Xenopus tropicalis: one gene and its partner. The protein of the gene in region 2 interacts with the protein of the main gene of each other region in a pairwise test. Links are inferred from orthologs where the notes say so. Each region holds a gene or a part of one and is shown on either strand. Other genes may lie near its edges.

Evidence for each region.
Region 1: the proteins of lmtk2 (region 2) and myo6 interact in a two-hybrid assay, tested with the Homo sapiens proteins (2 studies listed by BioGRID). The link is inferred for Xenopus tropicalis from reciprocal best matches to the Homo sapiens genes LMTK2 and MYO6.

The regions. Positions count from the first base shown.
Region 1 is NC_030681.2:90,516,908-90,533,170, forward strand, and holds the end of myo6 (unconventional myosin-VI), read right to left. Parts: intron 13,613-16,263; coding exon 13,481-13,612; intron 12,319-13,480; coding exon 12,292-12,318; intron 7,558-12,291; coding exon 7,339-7,557; intron 6,250-7,338; coding exon 6,050-6,249; 3' UTR 5,327-6,049; downstream 1-5,326. UniProt on the Homo sapiens protein: Myosins are actin-based motor molecules with ATPase activity. Unconventional myosins serve in intracellular movements. Myosin 6 is a reverse-direction motor protein that moves towards the minus-end of actin filaments.
Region 2 is NC_030685.2:25,909,098-25,925,360, reverse strand, and holds part of lmtk2 (serine/threonine-protein kinase LMTK2), read right to left. Parts: intron 15,264-16,263; coding exon 15,145-15,263; intron 13,910-15,144; coding exon 13,822-13,909; intron 10,237-13,821; coding exon 10,103-10,236; intron 9,681-10,102; exon of another isoform or gene 9,621-9,680; intron 9,363-9,620; coding exon 9,278-9,362; intron 8,304-9,277; coding exon 8,182-8,303; intron 7,951-8,181; coding exon 7,801-7,950; intron 6,197-7,800; coding exon 3,493-6,196; intron 1,875-3,492; coding exon 1,733-1,874; intron 1,129-1,732; coding exon 883-1,128; intron 1-882. UniProt on the Homo sapiens protein: Phosphorylates PPP1C, phosphorylase b and CFTR.

The DNA of each region.
Region 1 (16,263 bases), on a different chromosome or scaffold from region 2:
TTGCAGATATAATCCCTAGATGTCCCTGTTGGCATCACTGCAATCTTACTCCTTTAAAAAATGAATATAAAACTAGTCCTTGGAAGCCTAAAGATGTTGGGAGCAATCTGTGTGAGTTGGAAGTGACAGACAGATTAAAGGAATACTGACATAGGAAAATATGATTTTCTAAAGTGCAAACAGATTTTTTTATATTTCATTTTGACTTTTTACATGGGGCTAGCCATGGTCTTCATTTCCCAGTGTGACGCAACTATGTGACCTGTGCTCTGATAAACTTCAGTCACACTTTTCTGCTGAGCTGCAAGTTGGAGTGATATCACCCCCTCCCAGCAGCCGATCAGCAGAACAATGGGAAGGTAGCAAGATAGCAACTCCCAGAAATCCAAGTCTGGCTTGGGACTCCTCCAGTTACATGGGAGTAGGAGAAACAATAGGTTACCTGAAAGCAGTTCTAATGTGTAGCGTTGGCTCCTTCTGAAAGCTCAGACTCAGGCACAATGCACTGAGATGGCTGCCTACACACCATTATTACAACTTATACATTTGTTGGTTAAAGAATAAAAATTTTAAATGGTAGAGTGAATTATTAGCTATGTAAACAATGTAATTTAGAAATAAAAAGTACTCCATAAAAATCAATACACAATCCCATTAAGAGTGAAGAGTTTCAGAAGCTTTCTGCCCACATGGTACAAGTAGGTAGGTACAAGTAGTTGGTACTTACAAAGCCACTACGTGGGCAAGGCACCAAGCTCTGTCTGGCTGACGAAGCTTATGATTACAACTTTTTTTTATGAAATGCTTTGCATTCTGTGAATGAGCCCAGTACCTGAAAGCTAATCATTTTAAACCAATTGCATTTTTTAGCTCCAGGACCTTGGGACTTTTCCCCCAGCTCCGCACCGTACTTGCATAAGAACAGCATTCAGTGCCGCTTCAATAAGCAGGCATAACAGAAAGCATTTCATGCTCACAGAAAAGCATATCTTCTCTAAACATTCAAGCACATTTCCCTTCCCCTGCTTATTCAAGCAAAGCAAAAAGGTGAAAAGTTGTATTCTTTCCGACTCATTCCATTATCACTTTGCAATTAGTTTTTCCGGCATTATGCGAGGTTTCATTCTAAGCACCATGACACCTTTGTCAGGGAATGTGTTTATTTTCTAACAATACAGTACACTTTATGAGAGATCATTTCAGGTAAAACATAAATAAAAAAAATTTACAGCTGAGATCAAGTTTTAAAACCAACATCTAATAAAATCTATATTATTCAGGAGAGAACACAAAGAAAATTGTTCCACACAAATTAATTCATTTCATAATGTTGAAGTAGGTGATTTTACCAACTGAAAGCCAGTGCCATTTTATTCATGAGCAACGTCAATGGGCAAGTTAGTGGAATATATTTATCATGCTGTGTAAAAAGTGGAGTGAAGCATTACCGGTGATGTTGCCCTGGACAACCAATCAGCAATTAGATTTCAACAGTTAGAAAACCAAAGCAAAGCATCTGATTGGCTGCTATGAGCAACATCACCGACAATGTTTTACTCCACTTTTTACACAGCATGATAAATATATTCCACTAACTTGCCCACTAACAACCCTTAAGGCTGTGCTTGTTAATGCCACACTGCTCACACGTGTTTCTGATACAGATACCTTGCACTAAGGGCATGGGTCCCCAGGAAATTGTAACATACAATTTAAAGGGGTGGTTCGGCTTTAAGTTAACTTTTAGTATGTTATAGAAGGCCAATTCTAAGCAACTTTTCAATTGCTCTTTATTATTTTTTTTTTTTCTAGTTTCTGACTCTTTCTAGCTTTCAAATGGGGGTCACTGACCCCTGCAGCCAAAAAGCTGTTGCTCTGTGAGGCTACAATTATATTGTTATTGTTACATTTTATAACCTATTTTTTTTTTATTCAGGCCCCTTCCTATTAAAAGAAAACTATACCACCAAACAATGTTGGTCTTATATACTGTATGTATGTATATTATTATTTAAATGTATTGCACAAACAAGCACATATATGAAACCCTGCTTCATCTAAATAAATCATTTCATATCAATATACTTTTTAGTAGTATGTGCTATCGGGTACTCCTAAATAGAAAATTGCCATTTTAAGAATTAAGGTCCGCCTCCTGGGATCATAGGATTCACAGTGCACACAAACAAGCCAAGGCACACATACATGCTAGGCCCCATCAGCCAATTAATGGACAGAGTTTTGTCTTTTGCATCCACACTTCCTCCTGTTACAGTTAGAGTTGCATGATTTCCTGTCAGGTGATCTCTGAGGGAGCACACAGCCCATCACTAAATGGTGGTTCAAGGGATGAAAAAGACAGTATTTACTGATATATATTCCAGTTTGGCAAGATTATTTAATAGGTTACTTAGCATAATATAAACTATCTGTTGGTTAATTATTCATTCTGGGGGTATGGTTTTCCTTTAATACCACTCCCTGGTTGCTAAGGTAATTTGTGCCCTAGCAACCAGATAGATGTTGCAACTCAAACCTGGAGAGTTGCTCCAACAAAAAGTGCAATAATTAAAAAACTATAATAAAAAATAAAGACCAATTGCAAATTGTCTTAAAATATTACTCTCTACATCATACTAAAAGTTAACTCAAAGGTGAACAACCCCTTTAAGATGCTCCTTTGATGCAAGGCCAACATCTAACAACTCTAGCCAGCATTTTTTAAGAGTTTGCTTAAAACAAGTAATTACGTACAGGCAGGTTATAATTTAAGACACTTTTTATAAATGTAGATATTTATCATTAACAATATAAACTAATTCCCTCCCTTCTACATTGCTGATATCATCAATAAGCTGATGCAGTTCTTAAGATTTACACAGTGACACCCCAGGGGGGCTACCTTAGATGTGGTGAGGACAAGTCAAAGTGCAATGCATTCATTCCTTAAGTTGCCTGCTGTAAATTTCATTTTAACATAAACCTATCGGTGTTGCATTCAATTTCAACCTAATTTAAACACCAGTCTTGGTCTGAGGACTTCAGTCAGTTAAATAAGTGAATGTGTTGATAGGAAGGTTGGTGTAACTCATAATAACAAGTTATTGTTATAGCAAGAAATAACTATGGAGCCATACTGGAAGGGAAGAAGCTGGCCTTTACGAAAATGGCATTCAGAGAACACCATAAATCAGTGTCAAAAAGAAACCTCATTCAATCACATTTTCCTCACAAACACCAGGTTAGACAAGTTCTTTTAAGGTGCATATGAATGAATAAACAGTAAATGGCTGAAACAAATGGAAAGACAGAGCACTTGCTATCCCAAATGATTTCTTGGTATGTATTAGGCAGATGGCTGAATATGGAATGAACCATTGTAAGATACCTAAAAATACTTCAACATACTGTGAGTCTTTTATTTAAAAAAAAAAACATGTGGAGTAGCCATTGCTCCATCTGTATGCATTGTCAGTTAAAGTACATAGCACTTTGTTACCACACATCAAAGCGCAGTTTAAGACTGTTTAACAATGTACCCTACTGTATGAACTCTAAATATACCTTTCTGCTATTATGGGACAATATACCAGTCACATATTGAATCAGGAATGGTTCTAGGCCTCACTGCTATCTTGATACAAGAGTCAGCTCTTGAAATAACAACCCCTGCGTCAGTATCTTACCATACGGTGTCTGTTTTTCTCTCATTGCTTCCAGATTTGAAAATAAAACTATATTTATTTAGTTAAAAGCATCATATTCAAGCACTTAAAAGAACTGTCTCACTTCAAGCAATAGTACCAAATGCTTGATAAATGAGTCTATATCCCTGTTTACATTTTTTTGCCATTAGTCTTATTTGTGCTGTCATAACATACTCACAGTTGCTCATTGATCTATATGTGCGCTACATGGTCATACAGTAACGTTTCAATGACCAATTAAAGAAAAAACCAAATAAATATTAGTGGTAACAACAGCCACACACTTTTTACTACAGAACAGAAATCATAGAACTGACCTGCAAGGCCATAATATTGTAATAAGTACTAGGGATATGCAAACACATATGTTTCTACTTTAAAACAAAAAATTAGGTAAAATCCAAATCATTACTTCAATAAATACTTTTAGCAGTGTAGTATGATATTGTATATGTAATTATGTGTAATAAAGCTGGCCACACATAGAGCTCAAATTGATCAGCCAGGGCAGCCCCGACCTCATGTTTCCAAGCTAATGAATTAAAATCAAATTAGAGCTGCTTAATAATCTTGAAAATGACATGGGCTGATGGTCCAAACTGAGAAAGATCACACACTGATTCTAAATTAGAAGCGGTTGCACTCCTTGCGTATCCGGATTCTTGCAGAATTAATCATATTGCACACAATGCTTGTTAAACCATCTAATCAAACCATTAGATCTCTTTAGCAGGCATTAAATTGGAACTCCACACAAAAAATGACAGTTTGCATAATGAATGAATGTAGTTCTAGGCAATGTTACCATATACATTAATTAAGCCTTTTATAGTGGTAATGTTATTTGTAAATGTAGTTGATATAGACTGTTCCTTCAGACTCAGTAAACTGTAGCAGTATCCATTTCTTTCCAAGCCAAGACTCCACTTCTCACAAAGCCTTGCAGGTTAAAGGGGGAACTCTGGCTTCAGAACCAAAATTTGCCCTACGCAACACAGAAACCCCTAATATACCTATCACTGTAATATGTTCATTCAAATCATATGAATAAATACCATTTTTATATGCCGAAATCCAGGTGCAAAACCTTTTTGCCTTTCTGCATAATTTGAAGCCCTGGCAGGGAAGGAGGGACTAAAACATTGATGTCAAATTGATGACAAATTGTAACAACATCTCCACAGCATGCAGGACACAGCTTACAGACATGCTTTGCACTGTAAGGTTCCTTTCCTTACTGACATCACATGTGCAGGGAATTGTGGGATTTGGCGGATACAGGCTGAAGGCAGGATGAGGACAGTCAACTACTGTTACATTTTCTTTGAGTCTCAAAGTAGTCAGACAGATCAGCAAGAGAAAAGGGGGCCAGGCTTAGGTAACTGTTCCAAACTATATTATTACATTAAAAATCATGAAAAGGCTATATATTTTTGATTGATGTATACTGAATTTATGAAATTAAAATTACATGTACTTTCCAAAAAGCTTAAGTTGTGTTTGGGTGGAGTTCCCCTTAAGTGACGGACAAGGCATTGTGGGAATTGGAGGCAGTCAGGTGTAGCATGGCAATGGCCTGTATAGATACTGCTTTCAACAGCAATAACATTCACACATTATTTTAAAATCAAATAAAATAGTTTATTTTGGAAGGTTAAAATGACATTATGGAATTGGTTTCATTATTAAGGGAGTTCCCCTATAAACAGGAAGAGCTGATGCAAGGGTGATGTGCGTATCAAGTAGAACAAGCTAGCATGGAGTACAAAACTAGATATTAATGGGAATGTAATTTTTGCTCCTTCTAGCAATTCTTCAGCAGGTAATACCGGCTGCTCTGAAAAGCAAACATTTGGTTCTTTGTTATGGGTTACTAGTCTAGGAGCAATCTCTGCACCTGTTCTCACTGCCCCCCATGGGACGTGTTTAAAGTAGCACTGTCTACCAGTATTAACCAGAAGGCACTCTCAGAACAACAGGTAGCATGAAAAGTGCATCATGGTTTAGTGTTGATTTAAATACATTGCCTCAAACATCCCTTAGCACACTGAACAACTGCATTATATATGTAAGGCCTCGTTTTCAGATGCAACATAAATAAAACAGTCTATATTTTACTAATAAAAAAGGTGCCTGCAAGGGCCACTTCACTATGAAACTACAACTACACCAAAATAAAACAACTAAAATACAAATTACTGAAGCCCCACAATTAATGAAACCTGTTCACTTTATAATAAAACTCTCTATTACAAGATTATGGAATGTTTTGCTGCTCTTGCAGAGGCCGAGTTCCCTTCTTGTCGGCTGCAAGACAGTAACTAATATCCATTGATTGAGAACTATTTCAGTAGATTTTGCAGCATTGCTGTAGCGTAAGTTGGCCGTGCTTGTCTACTTTCAATCGCGTTGCTCAGGTACTGAATTCCTCCGCAGCGCTCCCATATCTCTTCAAATTGTCGAGGTAAAATCTCAGCTCCCCTTTTTCTTGTTAACCCAGTTTCTTCTAGATTCAGTTCACACATCTCCATATCATCCTTCCCTAAAAAACAATAGAACACCTTACATTATTTAAAGAATTCTTTGTGTGGTGCAAGCAAAATTGTTCGTAGGGTGTTAGACCAGTGGATTCATTTTCCATACATGCACTAAACTTTTGGGATGTGCTGTTTTTTGCTTTGGAAAAAAACAACCTTTCTTAGAGCCAGAACAAGGAGGAGACACAAGAGGTGCATGGCTAGAACATGCCTAAGGGCACATACCTCTTTGCCTACCCCTAATTCGGCTTTTCGAAGCTGTCTGGCAATGAAAGATGAATGACGAGCACATCGATTCTATCACACATTGTAATGCCTTCACCTCCCCCGCACACTGCTCCTCAGCAACTCTCCCCACCCCAGCTCATCAATTCACTGTACATTTAACATTTTCAGGGGTCCAGAAACAAATGGGGAAAATGTAAAATCAGGGAAATGCATAATGCATTATATTTATATTGGCGGGACCACAGAAAAAAACATGTAAAATGAGGGAAAACTTAAAATCAGGGGATGTAAAATTGAAACTCATATAAAATAAACTCAATAGGTTTGTTTGCCTCAAATAAGGATTAGTTATATCTTAGTTGGGATCAAGTACAAGGTACTGTTTTATTATTACAGAGAAAAAGGAAATAACTGTTAAAAATGTGAATTATTTGATTAAAATGGAGTCTATGGCAGATGACCTGTAATTCGGAGCTTTCTGAATAATGGGTTTCCGGATAATGGATCCCATACTGGTACAGCAAAATGCTGAACACTGTGCGTGTAGAATTCTCCCATAGTTATAGATACTGTGTGCCTCTACATCTAGAATGACCCTGTATAACCCTGTTATACAAGACAACTTGTGACAGTTTTTCTGAACAGGAAATCAGAGCTTATTAAAATATTGGGGTAACTGTTCTAGAATTTAAGATCTGTGTGAAAAGAAAACAAAAAATATTAAGAAAATGTAAAACACTAATGTTATGGTGTACAGTAATAAAAACTATAAATGAGAAATGCAAACATTTGTACTGGAATATAGTGTGTGTGTGTGTGTGTGATATATATATATATATATATACACACACAGATATAATACTCACCGGCTACCAGCATAATGGGAGGTTTGTCTGGATGAAGTTCCATCTGCCGAGCTATCCAGGGACCATCGAAATGTGCGTACCACCACCCTTTCTTCTTGTTCTGCGGATCCTTGTATTGGTCAGCAGGACGGATGAAAGGAATGCGGAAGTAACGCTGCTGCCTGTTCATTTCGATCTCCTGTTGCCTAGCGGGGAGTTGCACTACTGGGTTCTGTTGAGCTATTACAAGAGAAAAAAATGAATGAACAAAATGAATATGAAAACTCCTTTTATCAAGTGGTTTAAAATTTTAAGAGATTTGCTGATTGCCATTTGTTAGGGTGAAACCGAAGCACACTCAGTGAAACCTAAAATATTCAGATAGCTACTTGAGAGCAGTAACATAATCTCCAAACAAATTGACAGTTAAATGATGGCTCTGACCTACACTTTTCTATCGTGCCTATATTTTTTCCTCAGCGGAAAGTATGGCATAATAGAAAATCCGTCGCACCACTCATTTCATACAGCTTTCAGGCTTCTTAGAATGACTGAAGCTCACTTACTCTGCCTTTACCATAACTACAGTAATATTGCTCACAATCATGCCTCTAAGAATGGATTTCTTATTTAGTAGAAGGGAAAGGCTATAAACACTATCTTTACCTAAAGACATGGGTTTTGGTATCAGATTCTCAGTCTGTTCCTCCATGTACACTTGTCAGAAAGGAAGAGAGGGGCAGATGCATTTGGAGAGACAGGTTAATGAGATAATGGCCCCGTAAATGTTACAGTGGATAAAAGTCATTTTAAATACACGTCTCTATTCATTTCATTCCTATCTAATATGTAGCAGACTAGAAAGAAACTCTCCCAGGTATTTACACCAACAACAGTAGACTTTTATTTCTTGGCGGGACAAGGCAGGAATGTTAAGAGGAACCTATAACCTCTACTTTTGTGTCCGACAACAAGCAAAACCCTCATTTTGCTCAGGGGACCAGACAGGAAGAGCTTCTATTTTCTACCCATCATTTTCACATTTTCATTACAGCAGTGCAAAGAAATCACAATCTTGCCAGAACTTCTTTTCGGTCATGAAGATTTGTAAGAGAGAGTTGAACGAGTGTGGGAAACCCAGAACTCCTCAGTCATTACATGATAGTGGCTATAAAACTGGCATGATCCTTCAACATGGGCTTTTTTTTAGATGTTCTATGATGGTTTCAGTCAGAATGTCTTCAACAACCTTGCATAATTAATTTTGGAGGAACAGTGACACCGTAAAAAGTATGAGAAACACTACTATTTTGTGTATACCTACATTGCTACACAGGATCATATATATAATTTAAATAGGACTAGATGGCACAGGTTAAATAGCGGAGAAAAGATGAGCTCTATAGAATGCCATTATATTCTACACAGCTTATCTGCTATGTAACTTGAGCCTATTCTCCTTTAAATGGCTGTCCCCATGGCTACACTGCATCTTATTTATATAAACTACAGTAGTCCTTCTGAAGCAAACACGCCAGTTTAACCAGTGCAAGGAAGCAGTACATTATATTTTATTTACTTTATTTATTCCTGTTACTATTTCTTTAAGGATATTGGAAGGAAGACTCTCTATATAGCCAAATTACCTAAGGAAGACAGGTAGACTTTAGCCAAAATGGACCATCCCTCGATACCCTGTGTCTATTTAAATTAGAGTCTTTAAATACATAGCCTGTTTGTTCTGTTGCAATGTATACAGCATCCTTTGAATAGAGCCCTGTCCAATCATACATCACCCCACTGATTGTTCTATTTTTTTTAAAGGAAGCCTCATAACTTAGTATAAATAAATCCACTGAGATGTCATTCTACTTACAACAGATACCTGACTGTGCTCACTCAGAACCAAAGAGCTACAGATCTCCATTTTTCATGTTATATAAATGTTATGTTATATATTATATATATAAGGCTTGGCCTGCTCAAATCAAAGACTACTCACAAGAGACTGTATTTAAAAAGTATCAGTGTTAACTACTGTATGTGGTGTACTGTATGATGTACTATACAATTACAATCTAGAGATTTCCTGATCCTAAGAAATAACAGCCCATTCACTGTCTTTAGAATTTCACTTGATTTCCTAACTAGTAGAAATTGGATAATACTTTTCAAACCCTGGTCTTAACAAAACAGCATTTCTAAAACATATTGATATTCAAATACATTTATCATGGCAACAGAGCAACAGAACTGTCTCTTTTTCATTTTATATAAAAAGGGTAGGACCAGAAGAAAATCAGAGTACAGAGGACCCATTATCCAGAATGCACGGGACCAAGGGTATTCCGGATAAGGGATCTTTCCGTAATTTGGATCTCCATACCTTAAGTCTACTAAAAAATCAATAAAACATTAATTAAACCCAATAGGATTGTTTTGCATCCAATAAGGATTATTTATATCTTAGTTGGGATCAATTACAAGGTTCTGTTTTATTATTACATAGAAAAAGGAAATCAGTTTTAAAATTCTAAATTATTTGATTAAAATGGAGTCTATGGGAGACAGGCTTTCCGTAATTCGGAGCTTTCTGGATAACGGGTTTCCGGATAAGGGATCCTATACCGGTATATACAGGGATGGCAATTACGGCTCCACAAAAAGCTCTAGAAAATGGGGGGTGTAAGCTACATAACGCAGCACAAAGGCCTAGGTTATATATATGACTTAAAATATTCAGTTTGTAGAGGTGGGCAAAAGGGCAGAAAAACTAGCTCTTAACTTACACATGAGCACAGTTAAATAGCACGTTTAATCCAGTAGAGGGCTGTGATAGTGGGAGATGAAACAGTAGAGCACAGAAATAATTAACACTTTAGTTGTGTAACAACCTTTTAATGACAACCCTGAAAATGTAAAAATAAAAATTCTTTTTGAAAAAACAAGGCTCAAAATAAACCTCTAGAATTTCTCTACATTAATACTTGCACTAAATACCCTTTTCTCACTAATGGAGGTTTTTAACAAAAATCCAGTAGATTGACATCTCGGGCCAGGATACAATGTAATGTGCGTCACACCGTGCATGAAATGGATCCGTCACAATGAAACCACAGACACATTTCACTTTAGAACGCTACACTCCTACTATCTTTTCAGACTTCAGTTTTTGTCACCCAATAATTCTGACAAGTCTATTTCTAGAACACAATGTAGTTGATAAGGCTTGCCTAGCATGGCACTAAGTCTTAGTGACATAAAAGATTTTAACACAGTGCTGATTTTCTAAGCATTAAATGAACAAAAAAAGTGAAAATCAATCACTATGGGTGTGCGCCTGCAATCAATAGCTGGGTGCTGTATGTTACACAAAGAGGAAGATATGATATATTTATTGAGTATATGCCCAAAACCAGAAGTTAGGAGGAAAATGATTAACAATGTCACTTGAGGAGATTAGTCTCCCCTGTAGGAAAACATAGGCATCGCTTTGGATTTCGCCCAACTTCTCCATCAATCTTCTCTTTAACGTGACATTGCCCTAAAGCAGGAGCCCCTAACTCCAATCTGTATCTCCACGGTGTATCAGTGAAATATTTCAGCATCTTTCCAGTGTCACCAATAAAGCACACTGGAGAGCCTTCAAAACATGGTAAAGCACCAAGTGGATAGATCAAAGGATTAGAATAGCATATGCTGTGCACTAGGGTAATTGATGTCCCTTTATGATGAGAAGGCTTCTATATACTTCAATTTGGACAATTCCTTTAGTTGTTAAAATTGACTCTACTGTTAAAGGGATTAGAGTGTTTTTTTCCCACTTTCATCCAAGGCCTTCCACCTATGGCAAAATAACAACAGTAACCATTTCCAACCACAGAGCTGGCGTGCCACTCCCATCAACTTGCCCCTCCACCACTAGAGTTAGAATGCATTGCGAGAAGCAAACCGGGCTTTACTGATTAGTTTTTCTTAAAAATATAAGTAAGAACGTGTGACCATAGCTTAAGAAAACATTCTGTCTGCTTTTTACACTGACCAATAAAATACTGTTAATGGCTTCAGTTAAGGGTATTCAGCCATAGCATTTAGTACAGACACACACACCTGTAAAACTGTAAATACAATGTAGATAAAGCTTTACTAGGCTGTGCATCTCTTGATTATATGAAGGGATATTCTGGCAGTACAGCTCCATTTACTGCAGATTTAGACCAAGAATTCTTTCCAGTCATATAAAAAAGACAACCAAGAATGTTGCTATGCTTCCCGAAGGCCAGTCTTATTAAAGCACAGAGTTAATTATAGGCAACTGAAAACCTGGCCAGTATATTTCATACATGCATCAGCAACAATGTTTTTTTAAGCATGTCACCGGACGCATTTCAATGGCCTTGCGTGAGACCAGCTACAGTAAATCTTCATGTTCTAAACCACATGGATGTAAGTCTATTTCTGTATCCAACACCATTTTTCTCTCTTCACATTAAGCTCTTTGATACAGTTATGTTTCACACAGAGAAAAAAAACCTCTAAGCACTTCATTAGTTATGAGCTATGTGTCATGTCAAGGGATCAGTATAAATGACATCCCCTCTTAGCACCCGCCTGACAATACATTACAGTTTCTCATACCACTGTATGTACAAGCAGTCATATCTGCTTGTCAGAGTTAAATAGTTCAGCGGAAGCGCTGCCATCAGTCACCGCCATGATTCCTTATATCTAACAAGCTGTAGAGCTGTAACAGCAGGTACAGTTACTGTTCTGTAAATAAACAGCACTGATCTATTACTTTGCTCATAAGACATTTCCAATATTGAGGCCATTTGGGAAAGACAAATAAAGTGGATATATTCTGACAGATAGTGTATGTGTTTTAACATAACTGTAGCAAAACTGGGTTAGTAGCAGCTTGGAAATGATCTCCCACTTCCCTTACGTTAGTTCCTTTACCAAATCGGCACTTACGTGAGTTGTTCATGAATGGGGCAAAATCTGAAAACAGACATTGTTGACATTGAAAACATGCATTGCACATGCCGTCAGTTACATGAATTACATATCGATGATCAGGCCTGTTAATGGGAAGGAATATTCTCGGTATTTAGGTTCATAGGTGCCAGCATGCAATGGTTTGCTTTTCTTCAATATATTACAAAGAAGTATTTATTATATTTCCATGGTATCTTACATATATTACATATACATAAATATTTTTAAAAAAATGTTATGTTTAATTAACTAAAATAATACATAGCCTGATATTTTGTTCTGAATAACAGCAGTATCCAGCACTTGGTTATAAGTGACTTTGCAGAGGCAATTGTGTAGACTTTTATAATAATGCATATAGAAAAATGGAAAGAATGGCAGGTTATACAAAGTGAACAGTAAATGACAGTCCTTGTGAAACAGAAGATAATCAAGGGAATAAATAGGAAATTTCCCTCTAACAATTTATACATTAGTTTGTGAAGCACCGTAAGAGCTTCCACTAAGATTCACAACCCTATTTAGAGGGTTTTTGAGGAGTGGATTTCCAGGAGACACAGCAGGGGAATACAAAAACAATATGGGGTTGTCCGGTGTAATTATAACAACTGCCCAATGTGTAACAAAAGACACTATATTTGCCCGGGTGTAAGAACCCATTGCAACCAATAAAACATTTGCTTTTAAGCTGGTGACCAATAAATGCTACATTCAAATTGGTTGCTATAGGTGGTAAGAACTATAAGAAACATTCCGCTATATATTACTTAATCCCTTAAAGGAGAAGGAAAATCACTTAGCTGGTGGTACCCAGGGCTGGTGCACCTGTTAGCAGAAAACTGCACCTGGCCAGGGTACTTGTGAGAGAGTGATCCTCTAACAAGAGGAGGTATTAAAGTGAAGAACTTTTAAAATCAGGTTATACTTTTGTGAAAGAGAGAAAAGTATGATCCATAAATGCAAAATCATAACTGTGCCTACAGAGAGGTTGATAACAGCATAGAATTCCCAACTGGAATGCTATAAATATGAGAAGTAATGACGAGTGTCATGATGACTCCTCTCTTATTCAGGGATTGCTTGTATTTATTAATATGGAAGCAGTATAAAGTGAATGTAAAGGATAAAGTGCTAGATCTCATTTTGTACATGACACTTTACTTACCATAGTCAGTGACAGATTTGGGGGCACGCTGTTCTGTGTCTGCATTCCTTTTCTTGTTCTTGGATTTCCAAGCATGATAAACTTTCAGTCTTCTGTGAAACTCTTCTCTACATGCTGCCAGGAGCTCAATATCTGTACAATTCAAAAAGAAAAGGCGTTATGGGCAGTGAGTCTATTAGGAGGAAGGGTGATGAATTTCAACAGTTAATCACTTTATATATTTCATAATAAATAGCCGCAAACCCAGTGATGCAAATTTATATGTAATATTGAAAACATTTTCTGTTCTCTTTGAAGTGTCAGCACCTCTGCATTGCAATTAAAAATGCAAGATATTATTTGTCAAGCAATTCCAGGGAGTTGCTAATCTGACTTAATTATTTAGGTTTTTCCTTTTTCTAAATGAATGCACTGTAGTCTATTGATATCCCCTTTTCATAAAATGACTTACTGTAAAGCCTATGTGTTTGTTTCACTCTGCTATTAATCCTATTAAAGGGTTTGAAAGCCTTCAGTGTTGTAAATAACCCATTTCAAAAAGGTCCCATGGCAACTCTGCCAGAATACTCTCCAATAAAGATAACAAGAATTTTCATAAAGCGTGACAGCACTGCTGCATTTAGCAAAGAAGGAATTAGATTTTAGCACCAGGAGAAATCGGGAAACAAATACATTCTGCAAGCTCAAAGAGAAAAAGCATTATAGCGTTTTTTTTTCAAAATGTAAGTGAAGCGATTTTTGCTGCGCTGGTACTAAACATTTCATATTGTTATTGATGATAGAGTTGCTAGTACAGCTATAAAATAAACAGAGCTACATATTCATACGGACAAAATATTGCTTTCATCCTACAGCCAAATATCAGCCACTTAAAAGATGGTTTTCACTGGGGTAATATATTTTCAATAATAAAAAGTAGTATCCTGTTGGGTGCTATATAAGTATGGGACCTGTTACCTGGAATGCTGGGGACCTGGATTTTTCCAGATAAGGGTTTATTCCGTAATTTGGATCTCCATACCTTGTCTGCTAAAAATCATTTAGACATTAAATAAACCTAATAGGATAGTTTTGCCTCCAATAAGGATTCATTATACAGTATCGTAGTTTGGATCAAGTACAAGCTACTGATTTATTATTACAGAGAAAAAGGAAATAACTGTTAAAAATGTGAATTATTTGATTAAAATAGTCTATAGAACATGGCCTTCCTGTAGTTCTGAGCTTTCTGGATAATAAGTTTCCGGATAATGTATCCCATACCCTTATATTATTTGAAGTGTTTTGGGTTTATATTTGACCATATTTTAAAAAAAACTGAAGAAACAAATCCTCACCCCATGTGTTTCACAAAGACACATTTACTGTGAAAATTTCAGAACACTGTGCCATAATTAACTAATAATTAAATCCAGCAGATCAATACATTAACAACAGCTTGTAGCAAAAGCAACATACTGCGGACTTCCATTACTAAGTACGCTTTGCGGAAAAACTCTTATCCCGAAATCTAGGCCACATACACGTTTCTAAATCATTCCCTTTAAAGATCTAATTGACTTTTCTGTCCAAAGTTTCATCTTTTCATCCTTTGTAATACACCATTAGAAGCTCTAGTCTTACCTGGAAAAGCCGCATAGAAACTGTTCAGTCCATTTTAAAATACAACAAGACAGTAAAGTCTCTAATGGCATGTCAGGAAGAATAAGTTATATGATGAAAGGAGAAATTAACCATTGAAAGACATCTACAGTTTTACCCATGTGACAGTGTTTTGGATCACAAAGAAAGGTTGCCCTCCTTAATCAGAATGGAGAATACGCAAAACTGATAATGATGCCTTAAAGCGCATGGACAGAACTTTTTCTAGGAACTTGCAGAAGGCATTTATGAGAGTACATAGATGTGAAAAAAGGGATTCAGGATGTAGAATCCACCTGAGAACTGCTACATCTAATTCTAAAATGCAGGATAAGAGCTCTGTGAGTGACAGAGGAAGATGAGGTAAAATTGGTTGCAGAGGAAGGAATTGTGCTATTTCTAGGCATAGTTAATGGGAAACACTGAAACAGCCAATAAGAGTGCATTATACAAGGCTGCCAGGGTCTGTTTTGCCAGTTTGATGCCCAAACATTGTTAGGTGAAATTCTGCCTACAGAAACATTAGAGAACATAGAATACAAGCACAAAACAGACAAGTATAACAGTATAACAAGTATAACAGTTTTTTTTTTTTAATACTAGAAACATAGTCATCCATATAAACAAATATCCTTTCAAATTGTCCACCTGCATAACAAAGAGTATATACATCCACCTATATGATTTTAGATATTGGGCTCCAGGCAGCTCCTTTTCAATTTGCCCATTGCTTTGTTTATGCTCAATCTACTCTAGCAGATTGGTAAATGTAGCTGTGGGGTAAGTGGATAGTCATGTGTGGCAGGGCTTGGGGGACAGCAGAATACAATGCTTTGGCAGTTGCACTATATTCAATGACATTCAGGAGTTAAGAGCAGGCACTGCTAGGAACTGGCATTAAGTGTTAGCATAAGTACAAAAAGTATTCAATACATGGCCGGAGGTAGCTATGTTTTGTTTGGATAATGGGGGCTGTGCCAAACAGTTCTGGAGCCCTGGGCAAATGGTTATGTTCTTCCGTTTTATGCAGATCTAAATAGGGTGGTAGGTGGGTGACCTATGGTAGGGGCACTAACACAACTTACTATAGCATTACAACAGGTTAAATGCACTGTCGGGGTTTGAGGCAAACTGGGTTGCTG
Region 2 (16,263 bases):
ACTAGGAGCAGTGTCACTGTTTCAGACTTAGGACTGGCTTATAAGGTGACTTGTTTCATGGGCTCCCTGCAGATTCCTTGGTGGGGAAGGCAGTTCCAAATAAATATTTGGATTTGTTGCCAGCAATACTTTAAAAAAAAAAAAAAAAAACCCACTGCCAGTGATCTTTTTCCCTTCACTCAGAGCAGCATATATTAAATATTAACTAAAAAGACAAGGAACAGCTGTTCCCCTCTCATACCCCCACACATCTGTTGGAATCACACATTAGTTCAATGTCACTTTACTGCTAATCTGGAGAGAGTTTTCCTGCAGAAAAAAACGTGCTGAAAGCTAACAGGGACATTTATCTTATCGCTTGTCAAGCGCACAATGCAAGTGCAAATAAACATTTCTATTATGGATTTTTTTTCCTTGCTATATTCATATCAAGCTCTTACTTTGCTGAGAACTTGCAGGGGTTCTATTATTCTATGAAATGTTGGTGCGCCAATGCCCCACAGTTGTCTGTTACTGGTACTGCACTCCTCAAGGGTAAGTGGAAACTGTATCAGTTACAATCAGAAAAGTTCAGGAATGTTGTGCCCTATTGTTTGGTGTTTATTAGCAGTTACATCTGCATACACTATGCCCAGGATACCAGTACACAGCGGGGAAAGGCCTGGACTGGGATTCAAAATAGGTCCTGGAATTTCAAGTACAAAGAGGCCCAAACATCCCCCCACCAGACCAATAAATAGTGACTGTCTCTGGCACCTTAAATTCTGGCATTTGCCAGAATTAATGTTTGCCAGTCCAGGCCTGCAGGGGGGCACCCAGAAAAACAAGAGGAACTTCTTATCCCATGTTAAATCTGCTTTTGATTCTTTTTGAACACCTCACCTCCTTGTTCTATATCGGAGTCCGTTAAATGCGTAAGAGAGAAACTGGCGATATTTGCTGGTGAAATAGAGAAACGTGAATAAGACGGGGTGTGCGTCCAGTTCTGATCAGAACTCCTTGGAGGCGGAGGTGAGAAGTACTTAGAGGGATTCATGGAAAGTTTTTGCCCACTGAAGCCCGTTGCTGGTTTAGTTAAAAATGAAGGCTCGGTATTGGAGAAATCATCGTCCCATTCAAAGCCGCCCCCTGAAAAGAAAAGAACAGCAGCGTTATTATATGAAAGGTATATAATATATCACATACACAGGAACCAGTCATTAAAATTGCCAGATTCAGAATAGCAAAAGTTTTAAAAAAAACACAAAAGCCAAATCTAAAAAATGTTTCTGTTTTCAGTTTGGATATTTACAAATTGCAATTGTACCACTGCTACTATATTTCATACATATTTTAATAAACAGTATAGAGGGAAAAAAACCAAAAAACTTTGTTCTTCACTGACACATAGTGCACTACGTTTCCCCTTAGGGCATACTAATCTAAAGGGGCTTTGTTTTACACCTTTTTAATATCTTAAATAGCCCCTTCTGCCGCATTTGCATTAGGTCTGGGGCTACCCACATGCTAAAGTCCAAGACCACGAGCCTGCTCATATCCATTGGTAGTGCTCCTTCTGCAAGTAGTCATAGGGAGAGCACTTTGGACAAAAGCTAGTTGCATGGAAAAGACCTGTTATAGCCATAGCTCAGGGTATGAATCTGGGCAGGCGCTTCTTTATATGTAGTCTGACAAAGGGGAAATAGAAGAGTTATAAAATTTCAGTTGAGACACTGGCGCAAACTTTCTTTACCTTCTTCATCAGTAGAACTCTCAGAGTTTGTAAACCGGTTTAGGTAACTTGGAGGGGGTGGAGGAGGAGTAGTTGGACAGCTACTAAAGATTTGGCTGTTTGTATCCACCACCTGAGAACCAAGATCTTTGGTTGGAGTTTCCTAAAAAAATTAAAATTACACAATAATTAAGTGCACCAAACTTTAAAATTCAAATTATTTTCAGCAAACAAGGGGTCAGCTATTTTGGGGCCACAAAATAGTATTAACAGGTCTGTCAGCTGTTCAGCCAAGAGGTGAAGTTTCTATAATATGCAATAAAGTAACGGGTCTCCAAGACATACAGACTTTGCTTTAGTCAACTGGAATAGCTCATCAGCTTCCAAAAATGTCTTATATTCAGTTGTTTATTCAATCTACCCAGTGATTGCTAGCATAAACAGGACTCTAGCAACCAGACACCTGCTGAAATTCTAAGGCTAATATCCCATGGAGAGATTAAGTTGCTGCGATTTTTAAAAAGCAAGTTCCAGCATCAAGTCGCTTGTTTTGTCTCTACATAGAGAAGAATATAAATCATCAGTACCTAAACAGATGATATTACTTAAAACCGCTTATCACTCCAAATTGCTATAAGACCCTTTTTCGAGCGATTTTACAGAGAAAGCATTGGGATCGCTAAAAGTAAAACCCACTGAGTGGGAAGTGGCTGCGATTTCCCCATATTGCACTGAATGTAATTTCTAATTGTGGGCGGGGAATATGACACTTGGATTTGTGGGAAACAGAATCGCTCTGTTGTTGAAATCTCTAGTAATCGCTTGTTAGGAAAAGACGAGCGACTTGTTGCTGGAACTCGCTTTTTAAAAATGGCAGTGACTAAATCTCCCAGTGGGACATTAGCCTAAAATGAAGAGTTGGTTAACAACAAGCTAAATAATTAAAAAAAAAACACAAAAATAAAAAAAATGAGGACAAATGCAATGTCTGTCTACATCATATGAAAAGCTAACCTTTTAAGAATCATAATTGTATATCTGAAATGACCAATGATGAGTCTGAATCTTATAATTAGCCAAATTCAGGATCTAATGTCAACAGCAAGAGCTTCATATACATTTAAAAGGTAATGCCTTCTTGCCCAACATCACACACATGGAAACACTCAAACCATTAATGATGGTCATAGAAACACAAACTGGGTAGCCAGCACCATATAGTTGGGGTATAGGGGTTGCTCAGCTTTAAATTAATCTTTAGTATGTTGTAGAGCGTGCTATTCTGAAACATTCTGAAATTTTTTGGGTTATTTAACTTTTTATTCAGCAACACTTCAGTTTGGAATTTCAGCAGCTATATGGTTGGTAGGATTCAAATTACCCTAGCAATGAGGCAGTAGCTTGAATGAGAAACTGTAAGATGCATAGGAAAGGGCCTGAATGATAATAAGAAACAATTAAATTGTAGCTCTACAGAGCAATCATTTTTGGCTGCCAGGCCAGTGACAGCCTTTTAAAAGCTGAAGAGAGTCAGAACAGAAATGCAAATAATTAAAAAATGAAGACCAACTGAGAAGTTGCTAATAACTAGTTATTCTATAACATACTAAAAGTTAATTTAAAGGTGAACTATTCCTGTAAGCAGGTCACTTTAAGCTTCTGATAAATAGATATGTTAAGCTAACATTTGAAACAAAAGTGGCAGAATACATCAGGCTTATCAAGGGATAAAGGGCCAGAATAAGTGTTTAACGTGCCGGCCATGGCTAGCAGACACTCACCTGATCAAATAAATAGACCGTGACATCATCAAAGAAGCTCACAGCTTTACTGCTCCTTTTCTCAAGTTCAGAGAACATGTCAGTAGCAGGTTTGCTTGATTTTATTAGGCTTTTTAGGTGCCTTCCGTCATCATTTTCCACATGAACAACAGGAACAGGATGGACGATGTCATCATCACTATCAGAGCTAAAACTGTTAAGATTAAAAGCCCTTATATCGTCGTCAGAGTCGTCACTATTTTCATCTTCTTCATCTGCATCCATGCCGTCCTCTGATGACAAATCCAGCAGGCCAGATGCATCGAGTTTTCCCAGGTATTTCCCTTCCATATCAGGCTCTTTCAATTTCTGAGCATCAGGGAGGCTTACAATTGGCATCTCTTTCAGTTTATTCATGGAAGAAAAGATCTCTGATGCTCCAAAAGGGTTTAGAAAATCCTCATCATTTTCTGGGCGGGTTGGTTCAGCTGAAAAATGGTTTGCATCATCTTCAGAACTGGGTGAAAAATCATTCCATTCTTCATAATGTTCATTCTCCTCTGAATCCTCATGTTTATTCAGGTCGGTTTCTACCTGTTCTACGGACTGCAGTGGAAAACTCGGGTCATCTTTTTGTGACACAATTTCCACCTCTGTTTCATTTTTGGCAGCTAACTCGGGGCTAATTACTTTATCAGTGGATTCAGACAATGATCCTGTTACTGAAAATGTGAGTAATACTGGCAGATTTGAATTGGTCTCTGGCCTCTTTTCAGGCTCAGAATCATTGTCTGAAAAATAAGCAGAGTCTCTGTAAGAACTGGGACTTACATCTGTAGGCATTTGGGTTTTGCCGACATCATCCAACAGATGGTCAGCATCTGATATGATTATAATCGGAGCAGTGGCAGCAGACACTCCATTCCTTTCATTAGGGTCATGGCCTAACTGCCCATTAGCATGAGATGTCCACTCTGGAGACTCCACGTTCTCCGTTTCGTAGCCGCTATCAGCAGGTTTATCGGAATGTCCAAATTTCTGATGCTCTTCACTTTCCAGAGTCTCTAGCACATTCTGAACATCTAAAGAGTCTAAAGAATCAGGGGTTCCTATGGATGGCACCAAAGACGGCATAAAATTTGAACTATCATCTAACAGGCTATCCTGACTTGTAGAATCAGATGGAACAGCAGACGTTACAATGAATGGATTTAGGTCATCATCATTCACACTGGCACTGTCTGTGTGGTGCTGGGGTGAAGGAGCTTCTACAGAGTTGAGGCACGCTTGCCCTAAAGGTGCATCATCATTAACCACTTTGGTGCTTGGCAGAACAAATATATTTTCATTGCTGCCTGATCTGTAAAGATCAATACTATCATCTATTGCAGCATGGCTCTTAGGAGCAAGCTGGCTGTTCGGTACACCTTCACTTGCATGGTTTACGTTCTTAACTTCAATAGCTGTATGTTGGTTATCTGTGAGTCCAGGTCTCACTGAGGTTACAAAAAAATCATTTGTCAGACCTTCTGTATTAGGTAAGGGCAAGGTTAACTCTGTTTTGAGACCACTCTCTTGCCCAGTTTGTGGAGAGTTATCAAAACTAGTTTTATTTGACTGGAGCACAGATGAATTTAACTCTGAAAGCTGGAGTTCCACATCCAAACTGTTTGTGTGGGAGATTTCAAAGAGCTTTTGCGAACTGACTTTACTTGAAAATTCTGCTTGAGGCTCATAGGTTTTGTTTCCCTTAAACAGAGAGTCAGATAACAAATGATTTTCTCTAAGAAACAGGAAGTTTTCAGACAATTCCTCCACATTTAGTACAACGGGGTCAGTCTCTAGAATATTTCCCCAAATAGTGGACTCTTTTTCAGAATATTTAAAGCTTTCAGAAAATGGAAGGGAGGGATTGTCAGCGTGAAGACCATTTTGTAGTGGAAGCTCACGGACAGTACTACCAAGAGGCTTTTTATCAGACCAATCAACATTCTTAATTGAGTTATAGAATGGAAAACTGTCACTAGAAACATGCAGATATTCTGGTAGATGGCGATGTTCAGCTTCAAATGGAAGAAAATCAGATTTTATGTTTGTTCCAGATGATTTGAGCTCATTAAGGGCAATAAACTGCAAAGTTGCACTTTCTGATTCTTGTTTCTTATTATCAAAGTCCAATCTGCTTTCTCCTGGCTCCTCCAATTGAATATAATATTCATTGGCAACCGAAACATTGTGGGAATCAAATACTGGAACAACTTCCGAAGCACCAAGGGTGTTGTCGCGCCCACTGTGTTCTGGCTTCCCTTGTTCTGCATCAACACCTGGCTTTTGTAAAACATCAACAGGCACTGGGAAAAATAAACTATTGTAATTGACCGTAGCATCAGAATCGGAGTGTCCCTGCTCTTCAAAGTGGTCTTCTTTGGCTGCCTCCCATACATACTCAAAGCTAAGCCCCTGGCTCGTTTCAGTAACAGTAAGAACTTCATCCATTTCTTGGCTTAGCTCATCGCCACTGAAATGCTCCAAGATTGGAAAAGCCAAGTTATTTGTAGATGCTTGCCGATTACTAGTGTTTGGTTTAAGAGAATTCCAACGTTGTTCAAAGTCATCTTCCGTCTCCTTCTGGCTCTGCATGCGGAGGTATGTAAGTAGTCTATGGACTTCTTCAGCAGTGAGTCTTTTGTCTGAAGTTAACCAACAGAACTGCAAAACTTCATACCTTCAACAGAAAGAAAATTAATTGGTTGAGCAGTGTATTAAAAACAAGAAATTAATCATTTAGCTTGACAATATATTTATGCTACCCAACATGGGGGTTTATAAGTATGCCCCTTATCTTCCCTAGGGAACTACATTTATTATGCAGCATTACAGGGCATGGACCCGCTGTGTCTGACCATTAGGGTCTACAAAGATACATATAAACATTGCTACATAAAGGATAAACTTAATAACAGCACATGAGTTGCCCTGTATAAAGAAGCTTTAAGGGTATTTTAATAATTAAGCAAATACTAAAGATTGCTTCTTTCTATAGTCTGTGACCCCAGGAATAACTATATCCCAGCTACACATTCCAGTCTTAATCTTAATAAAAGAACAGAACAAACATGCCTTGCTAAAACAGACTGATATGGCCAAAGATATGGCCAAAGTGATGGTTTTAAGGGCAATGGCACACAAGGCAATCATCAAATGTTTTTTTCAAGCCTTTTGTAGTTCCTCGGGAGGGGGGAAAAAAAATACATACATGTAATAAAAGGCACTAAGTTTGCCCAGGAACAGTAACCAATCGCACCCAATAAAAAGACTGCTTTTAAATTGGTGACCAGTAAATGCTACCTGCTGATTAGTTGCTATGGGTTACTGCTCCTCGGCAAACTTAGTGCCTTTCAGTACATGACACCTCAGTCATCATATTCACTTTAAAAATACCACAAGTAACAGTAACTTATTTAAACAGGTGCAATTCTGCATTTTCAAGAAATATTCACCTATCCCTTTAAAGGAGAAAGAAAGATAAAAACGAAGTAAGCTTTATCAGAAAGGTCTATGTAAATACAGCCAGAAGCACTCACAGAAACGCTGCACTGACTTCTCTAAAACAAAAAAAAAAAAAAAAAGGATTTCTTGTGTCTGTAATTCATGTGTAATTCAAAACACGCAGCTCTCTCCTGCTACCCCTTTCCTCAAGAATGCTAAGAACTCACTCCCCCCCCTTAGGAATGTGGATCTGAGCCAATCAGCAGGAAGCTGACTCATAGTCTAACTAACTGAGCATGTACACTCAGTCTCGGTCTCTGTGCAGGAGTGAGGCATTATGGGAACTTTCTTTACACAACTCAGCGTTTTTTCTTCCTGTTTGGCTTCTGATCATCTGAACAGGTGAAATATGGGGAGACTTAAGGGCACTATTGAGAGAACTGAAGGTATGCCTGCAGCTTGAGATTAACTCTTTATTAGCCTTTCCTTCTCCTTTAAGTACTGTGTTTGGAACAGCAAGGTACACAATAATGTTGGCTGCCATGCTAAAACCTAACTGTACAGTGCAGTACTGTTCAATATACTAAAAAGAAATCAGCTAAATCTATGTTTGTGGGTCCTTTAGCAGGAAAGGGCTGTTCAGACTTATCCAAGCCTGCTGGGATGTATGACCACTCAATGGATGGATATATCAGTGGTAAGTCTTGCAGTGAATAATAGCAAGCAGATACATTTGTGTCATCACACAAGGAGACTGAAAAGATAAAAGGTTTTTGCGGACAAGTTATTTGCAATTGAAAAAGCCTTCACACTCCAGTATATTAGAACAGTTTACGTTACCATCTGTCTGCATACGGTTGTTCCAGTTGCGGATTAGGAAGTTTAACTTCTCTCTGTTTAATGACTTGAGCCAAGACTTCACTGTCTGACAGATCTTCGTAGGGAGTGGCTGCATTTTCAAATAGCTCCCAAAGTGTTACCCCTAGTGACCTGGAGATAAGAAAATCATCAATAGGTTTTTTTATGCATTATGATATTATGTATCCATATGTATTGCAGTTTGACATGTGGCACTCATTATTGGACCTTATGTGCTTCAATCATGGCACTCTGCAGTGGACATCACACTTTTTTTTTTTTAAATAAAATCTAGATAAATTCTGGGACTAAGCCACATGTATAAAGACAGGCATTTTCTGGGCACACACACACACACCTTACCAAATATTACTGGACTTTGTCTGATCTGCCACTAGTAATTGATCCTGATAGCTTGTCACTAACTCTGGAGCAGTCCATCTAACAGGAATAAACTTTTCCTCAGTGGTCTCCATGTAGTCTTCCTAAAATGTCAAAAATCTATTAGATTATATTACAAAGAAACAAAAAAAGTTATATTCATTTTTCATCAGGACACAGAACACAATCCAGCCTACAGTGTGTATGTAGGTTTCTGTTATTAAATAGCATTTACACGTAGCCCATTCTCTTGTTTGCATTTGAAATATATTTACAAAATGTGTTCTGTGTGGCTTTTCTTGCTAAGTGAAACATGTAGTGAATCCATAGGGCCACAACAACTTAAGGCTTAGCTCAAGCAAGTTTGCTTCTGTTTTCACACCAAAAACCCATGAATAGCCACTTCTAGCTCCAAATGCAAATGGACACAAAGGTGCAAGGAAGCCCTCTATACTTAACACATGCTGATCAGGCTTAAAATGCAATGTCACCTTTCTGCCTAATTTTTCTACATGACACCACAAAAATTAGGTGTATAAGCAAGATCATTCAGCTGGCTTCTTTGTCATGGGTGCAATTTGCGTCTGTGTAATCACACACATATATGGGAGAAACTCTGTATTGTGGCTTCAGCAAATTTTAATTCGGGGCTCATTGGGCAAATTTGTACCTGGGCAGTAACTCATAACAACCAAATTAAATTAGATGTTCACTTGAATTGTTCAACATGGCTAAAAAATACCAATCACTGATTGGTTGCTACTGGGTTACTACGTATGGGCAAATTTGCCCAGTGTTTAAAAGAGACCCCAATATTAGATAAGGCCATGTCGGCCAGAGGCTAAATCTTTTTATTTACAGTATGCCTGAGATCTAATATGTCAGTGGCAGGAGCCACTTTTATATAAAGAGGTAGGGAAAGTGCCCTCCAGTGAATAAATTAGTTAAAAATAAAATTGTAATGCAATTACTTTTGAACAAAACAGCTTCCCAACATGGGAGTATCAGTGTTCTAATCAGAATGTTGACACTGATTTTACAGAAGTGAAGAAAAAAAAACCCCAAAAACCCTACTTACCTTATACCTAGTGAATCCTATGCCATAGTCTCCTATTTTTACGGTTAAATCGGATGTAACATAACAATTCCGGAGCGCCAGATCACTGAAAAATACAGACAACGTTTAAAAGCGCGGCTAATGCAAACGTAACAGTTATTTCACCAAATCAGAAAACCAAACTCAAAACAGATTTCTTTAAGCAGATGGTAGCTACCAGTATACTCAATGAGTTATGATAAAGTTACATTTCTATGTGCAAGGAAACATGTTAAAATAACATGCACAAAGTTAATCAGACATTAAAACAATGATAAATGCGAAGTCCAAAGCAGAGTCTAAGATGCTTTTTATTTACCACCACCAACAAAATCACTGATGCTGGAGCTTTCCCGCACACTCAGACGGCATCAGGATATTGTTGCCAGAAGTAAACACATGGCCTCTCAGTGGAATGGAGACGGTGGTTTAATTCCACTCATTCAGACTTCTTTGCAATACACATCCTTCATTTAAAGTTCATGAATTATAAAAAAAATAAAGATTTCTGCAAGAAACTGTTCTGAATAAGGTGTAAATCATCTTCATCTCTGCTCTTTGGGTGTATGCCTCTGTTTGCTCCTGTGGCAATATTGTTTGGGTATGTGAACATTTATGGAGCTGTATAGGTTTACTAAATGTTTATAGTGCTAGGCAAGCCATTTTACATCCCATGTGCTAGACCAGGGGCGGGCAAACTTTTAGGCTCAGGGGCCACATTGACTTAAAATTTGACAAACGGACCGGGCCAGTGCCGTCTCCGCTCGTCAGTCCCCTAGGTTTTGCGTTGCTGCTAATAGTACATACCTGTGCACAAAATTGTGTTTGTGCATTATGGCAAGTCCTGCTGCTATCTGACAAGCCATTCGCTGGAGCAGCACAATTTCTGTATCCCCTTTCAATTTCTCTCTCTGATTGGTTAAATAAGTTTTCAAGTCACCCTGCAAAAGAAAAATGGAGGCAGAAGTTAGTGGGCTCATTTGCCGGTTCAGAAAAACTTCTAAGTATTCAACAAGGTTATTAAAGTTTTGCAGTTTAATAGTTTTGGACACATATTAATGTATTTGAAAGGTAAACTACACTTTAAAGAAGAGTAAGGCAAATCATTAAACAGAGAAACAGTACATTTTATAACTTAAAGGTCAAACATAAACAAGACTTGTATTTTGAAACTTTGATCTCCTTGTTCTTGTCTCTTTGCCACTTAGCACCTAATCTTTAATGTAACTGTACTTTATATTATTGTAATTACCCGTTTCTGTATTACTGATTTGCTGTACAGCGCTCCATACATAAGTTGTGCTACATAAATTTAAAAAATACATATAAATCTATTGCCCCCATTGCATAGGTCAGAAATGAACAAAGGGCCCTAGCTCTGCAAAACAGAATTGCTTATAACTGGGCCATGAGCTCCATATATTTAGTCTACATTCCCGCTGATAGACTCATTACCTCTGTAGCTACTATACTACACTACTATAATGGCAGTCAGTTTTGGATACTGCTTAGAGATGCAAACAATTCACCTCTAAAAGCAGGGAAACTAGGTTCATTTCTATGGTAGCCCTGGGTACAAAATTCCCAGTACAATACTACTACTACTACAGTACTTTTGTGAGAAGGCAGATGTTGCTTCTCTGAGCATTTTGAAGCATGCCTGTAAACCTCAGTTTCCTAAAAGGCAAGTACGTAACAGGAATAAAACGGCTTTCTTGCAAACCACTTTTTTGTAGGGAGACTATTATTTTTAAATGGTTAGATGCTGCCACCTAGCTCAGCTTAGCTGTATCCTTATCTTTTCAGCTTTACTGCGCATGTGCACATGTGAATCTGTGCTAAAGGCACCATGGAAAAGCTAAGTAAATTGTCAGTGTACCTGTCACTGCAGCTACTTTACCCTTGGTAGGTGTCTGACTTCAGGGGTGACCCAAAGACCCAACAGGCTGGGGCTTGGCTTACATATGATTTGTTCATCTAAACTTTGCCCCTCCGTCCAAATTTAATGTTAATAAAGGTGGCCATACATGGTAAGATCCACTTGTTTGGCGAGGTTCTCAAATGAGCAGATCTTCTCCCGATATCAATCTAATTTGATCGTTTGGCCCTAGGGACCTGATTGACACCTGTACGATTTTTGGGCAGGTATCAACGGGGGGGGGGGGGGGGGTTGTCGGGGGTCTCATACATGGGCAGATACGCTACCAGAACAGTCAAAAGAACTTGAAATGTGTAAAAGTGTCACTAACCCTTTAACACTTAGTGGCAGATTTGTTTGATTTCAGGATTGTTTTTGGCTACTATTTCTGAAATTTGCAGCAGGATATAGGTAGTATTTTTAGTACATTTTTACTCTACTGTGCACAAGTGTACGCCCAAGTGCAGATGAATAAACTCCCCTGCGGCATGGTATTAAAAGGAGAGCTTTTATTAAATCCTGGTCCAAATTGCACTGGTTTGTGAGCTACCAGATAATTAATAACTAAATGAATTGCTATTTAACCTTGTATTGTGACTCAGTTTTATGCAGTCCCTAAGCTCAGTAACAACAGCACAAAGCATATGAATCAATAGAAAAGATAATGGGGAACTGCTGGGGCAATGGTTCTCAAGCTTCCTAATGCCGCAACCCTTTAATACAGTTCCTCCTGTTGTGGTGACCACCAACCATAAAATTTTTCCAAAGACCATCGGAAAATGCGTTTTCCGATGGTCTTAGGCGATCCCTGTTAAAGGGTTGTTCGACCCTCAAAGGGGTCCCGACCCACAGGTTGAGAACCGCTGTGCTGGGGGCAAGTAGTTGCTTTGGGCTGGTATAGAAGCCCATAACAATGTGCAGCGATTCTAGCCTACTCTTTACTTCTCCTTTAAAAGGACATGTTCATCTTAAGCTTTATTTCACAGCTTGGACATGTTGGTGGTAGAAAATTATTTAAAAGTAGCACACAAGTATTCTTTTTAAACCATTGGCACTGCTTAAGAAGACATACTGACATTTATCACAATTGGGGAAGTTGTATTTACTGTATTTATTGCTTGCTATGTAAATTGGTTGATGCACAATATACTTGTAACATTCTCCTCATTCTTGAACAGTTGCATTCAGCCTTAAGGCAGCTACCTTACACAGGCAGTCAGATTACAGATGTGCTAAGGTTAGGGAAATGGCAGGGTTACATATAACCACAGAGTTGATTTTCCCAAGCAGCTGGCTTTAGCAGATGGCCCACCAAAGTACAGAAAGCACAGTCCCTCGCTAAATGAATAATTGCTTTCCTGAATAGGTTTAGTTTAGATCACATACAGTTACTGCTGCTATTACCCTAGAGACATTGGACAGAGAGCATATCAACCTATGACCCAAATATAAGACGTGCAAGAGTAATGCGATAGTAAGGTTACTACTATGCTGCCATGAGCCGCTAGGGAGAACAGTATATCATAAATTCCTTACATTTTACACATTACAATACCCAGAGATTTGCCATAAATACCTCCAGACTCTAGTCATTCAGGCTAAGGTGTAAAGACACTCACCTTACTATAAATAATAAAACTTGTTATAAAGCAATCATACTTTTTGATATACTGACTAAATGTTAGCCATAAATCTTTATAAAAATGCCTCCTCGTTCATAAGAAAGACAAGAAGGTAACTGACCTTGGAATAGCATTTAATGAAGTCTGTTATGAATCAGACATTTTTACTAGAAATCACAAATGGCAGTGATTCAGAAAAGAAAACTGAAAGGATGCAGTTAAGTTCTTGCTCACTAAAATAACAATGCTCTAGATTTACCAAATAATACATAATATATTTTAAACATTTTACCTTTTCAAAAAAACAGACAATGACTGATGAGCAACATGCACAGCTGAAGCCAATATACTCCTGCCTTTAGTTGCACTGTATCCTGGTGGGTGATCGCTGCCAGAGAGCTAGGAAGAGGAAGTCAAGCAGACAGACATGGTGGCTGCCGACCCCATTGTGCTAAGCTACTTTTTATTACCAGTTGTGAGGCAATGTCAGGGAGTGTGGGTGGTACAATTTAAATGGGGAGAGGCCCTATAACATATGCATCTCTTTCTTTGTCCTTTAACTTATCAAAGCTTCACACTGATAACTATTCTGTGCAGACAATGACACACTGTCATGCCCACAATTATAGAGCACAATGGAAAAGATATTCCACTGGTTAAATGTACCAGACACATGGTTGTTAATAAAAAAAGAAAAACAAAAAAAAAAAACACATTTAAAAAAAAAAAAAAATCCAGACAATGCACAATATTTAAATGAACAAGAGATGCTTCCATTTGCTATCTCATGCCCTTAAGTACAGGTATGGGATCAGTTATCTGGCAACCCATTATCTAGAAAGCTCCAAATTACGGGAAGGCCGTTTTAAGCACATAATTCCAATTTTTAAAAAATGTTCTTTTCTCAGGAAAACCCCAGGTCCCACGTATTCTGGATAATAGGCCCCATACTTGTACTATACAGTCATTTTGTTTACTTGACTTACCAAGTCACACAACTCGAACACCAAGAGATAGGGCATGGTTTCAATGCAGTGCCCAACACACTGCACAATATTAGGATGATGAAGAAAACTGAAAAACAATTGACAAGTGAATAAAAGATAAGTAAATTCAGCCACAATCATTTTAGCCTTTTATATGTATTAAAACACACGTTTTATTTGATGGGCTACTGCCAAAATTAAATCCTGTATTTAGTCAGATGAAAGTCACCCAAAATAGCCCTGGTATCTTTCATTCAAGTTCAGGTACATTAGATTATACTCTCATTATTTAACAAACAGTAAACATGTTTTTTTAAACCTTAAAAATATAGAAATTGCAGTGTAGAGTGGAGTAGCTTGAATTTCTAACTTTGCCCTATTTAGTTCAAGAAATACCAAAAACCAAAGATTTTTCATGACATTGTGTATTTAGCACAAGCCCTATTCAACTCATGTTGATTAAGGGTGTATATACTGTCCCTTTAAAACAAATTCAAGATTTACAGCACACCTTTATCTAGATGTTTGTGGCTAAGGATCATGGTACACATGGCAAATTATTTGCTAGCAGAGATGCAAAAAACCTGGACCATGTAGCCTATATTTTACTTTATTGGAAACAGTGGCTCTGACCTATAGAGAAAAGCTTATATCCCTGCTATGAATCCTAACAGGACTTGAGGTGCTTATCAGAAAATGAAATAGAAATCTCGGCACATTACATTTGCCTAGAAACAAACCTTGTTCGAGCCTTCTGTCAGCTAAACAGACCTTGATTCTTTTCAGTAAAGATTCAACCACTAATAAATTATGGAAACATCATCGTTTCTTATGGACCATCTCATAACTTAAAAAGTTATTGCTTGGTATCCCTAAGGAAGGATTCTAAGGTTTTAACAAGTCTATAGATAGTGTTTAACCATCTGCCAAGTAAAGAATGCAGAAGTTCTCACACATTAATAACTGCAATTTAGCGCTTGTTAGTAAATTAACCCCTACGTAAAAATGCAGAATTGTGCCTCATTTGTAAAATTTAAGACACAAACTAATTATTTTCTTCTCTACAAGCAGTTCCAAACACAGTACATGCTACACGTATGTATATATATTCATCTCTTGCTATTTGCACTTGCTTATCCTGCCTTCAGACAGCATTTGTCCATTTACCGTCATTTTGGGAGAAGAGCGACAGGTGATTTGAGGTATTTTGACTGCTGCAGTTCTCTGCTGAAGCCTATGTCAGCCCTTTTATACATCTCTGATTATTTCTGCCTTCTTAAACAGTAGGGGACAAGATACATAACTTCCCAGCAATAAATGTACCTGTATGGCTCTCCATGGTTTATAAAGTGATCTTGCTCTTTGGGGTTAGCGCTTGCCTTTAATTCCTTCACAATCACTCTTGCTACACTGTTTTCTCTGTAGATCTCTCCAAGCAGTACCTGTAAGAAACAGAATTATGGAGTCTATTACATAGTGACACAAACAGCGTATACCCTTGCTTACTTTAAATTGAGAGGAAGCAGACATGCAATCTAGTAGTGTAGCAGGCAAATAACCACAACTGCAAAGCCCCAAAACTCAGTAGGCATACAAATAAGGTGTGTACTTGTGAGCAGGAATTTGGCTGTGTTCCGATTGTATAATTTTAATAAGGAAGATTTTCATGTTTGTGTTTTAGCCTTTTTACTCAAGTTATGGCCATCTGGGAGAAACAGAGCATAAATAAAGCGGTGTGTTTTTGGTGAAAAAAGCATTAATAAAAAGTCTTGTGAACACTGATAAATCACTCAAATGAACCCTGACATATGGAGTAGATTTACAGGTGCTACTTGCACTGCTATTGCTAAGAATAGGCAAAAACATGTACATTTTAGTAAATGCAAATACTAAAGGATGACATCTTATTGAAATGGGAAAAAACCTGAATGTTTAGGGCAGGCACTGCAGTTCAGAGCCTTTAGAGGAGTCCACACAAGATTAAAGGGATTTGTCCGAGAAAACATGTTTTTCACAAAATGCATCAGTTATTAGCGCTCCTCCATCATTTTTTGAAGTTGGGTTAGACATATTCTTAGTTTCCCAGGTGCCCTTAGCCATTTGACTTGTGGTCTGGTGAACTTCAGTCTTTTTACTGCTGTGCAGCAAGCTGAAATATCCACACCCTCTGCCTATCAACAGAACAATGGGCAGGTAACAAGATAGCAGCTCCCTGATACCTGCACTGCTTAAAAATGCTTCCATGCCCCACATAGTGGAAGATATGAGAAAAGCACTCAATATTAAACAACCAAGTCTGGCCAGGACTCCTCCAGTTACATTCAGTAGGGGAAACAATATTCAAGAATTTATTCAAGAATACAATTTTAAATTGTAGATTGAACAATTTGCAATGTACACGGTGTCATGCTATGTCATGCCTTTAAATATATAAGTATCATC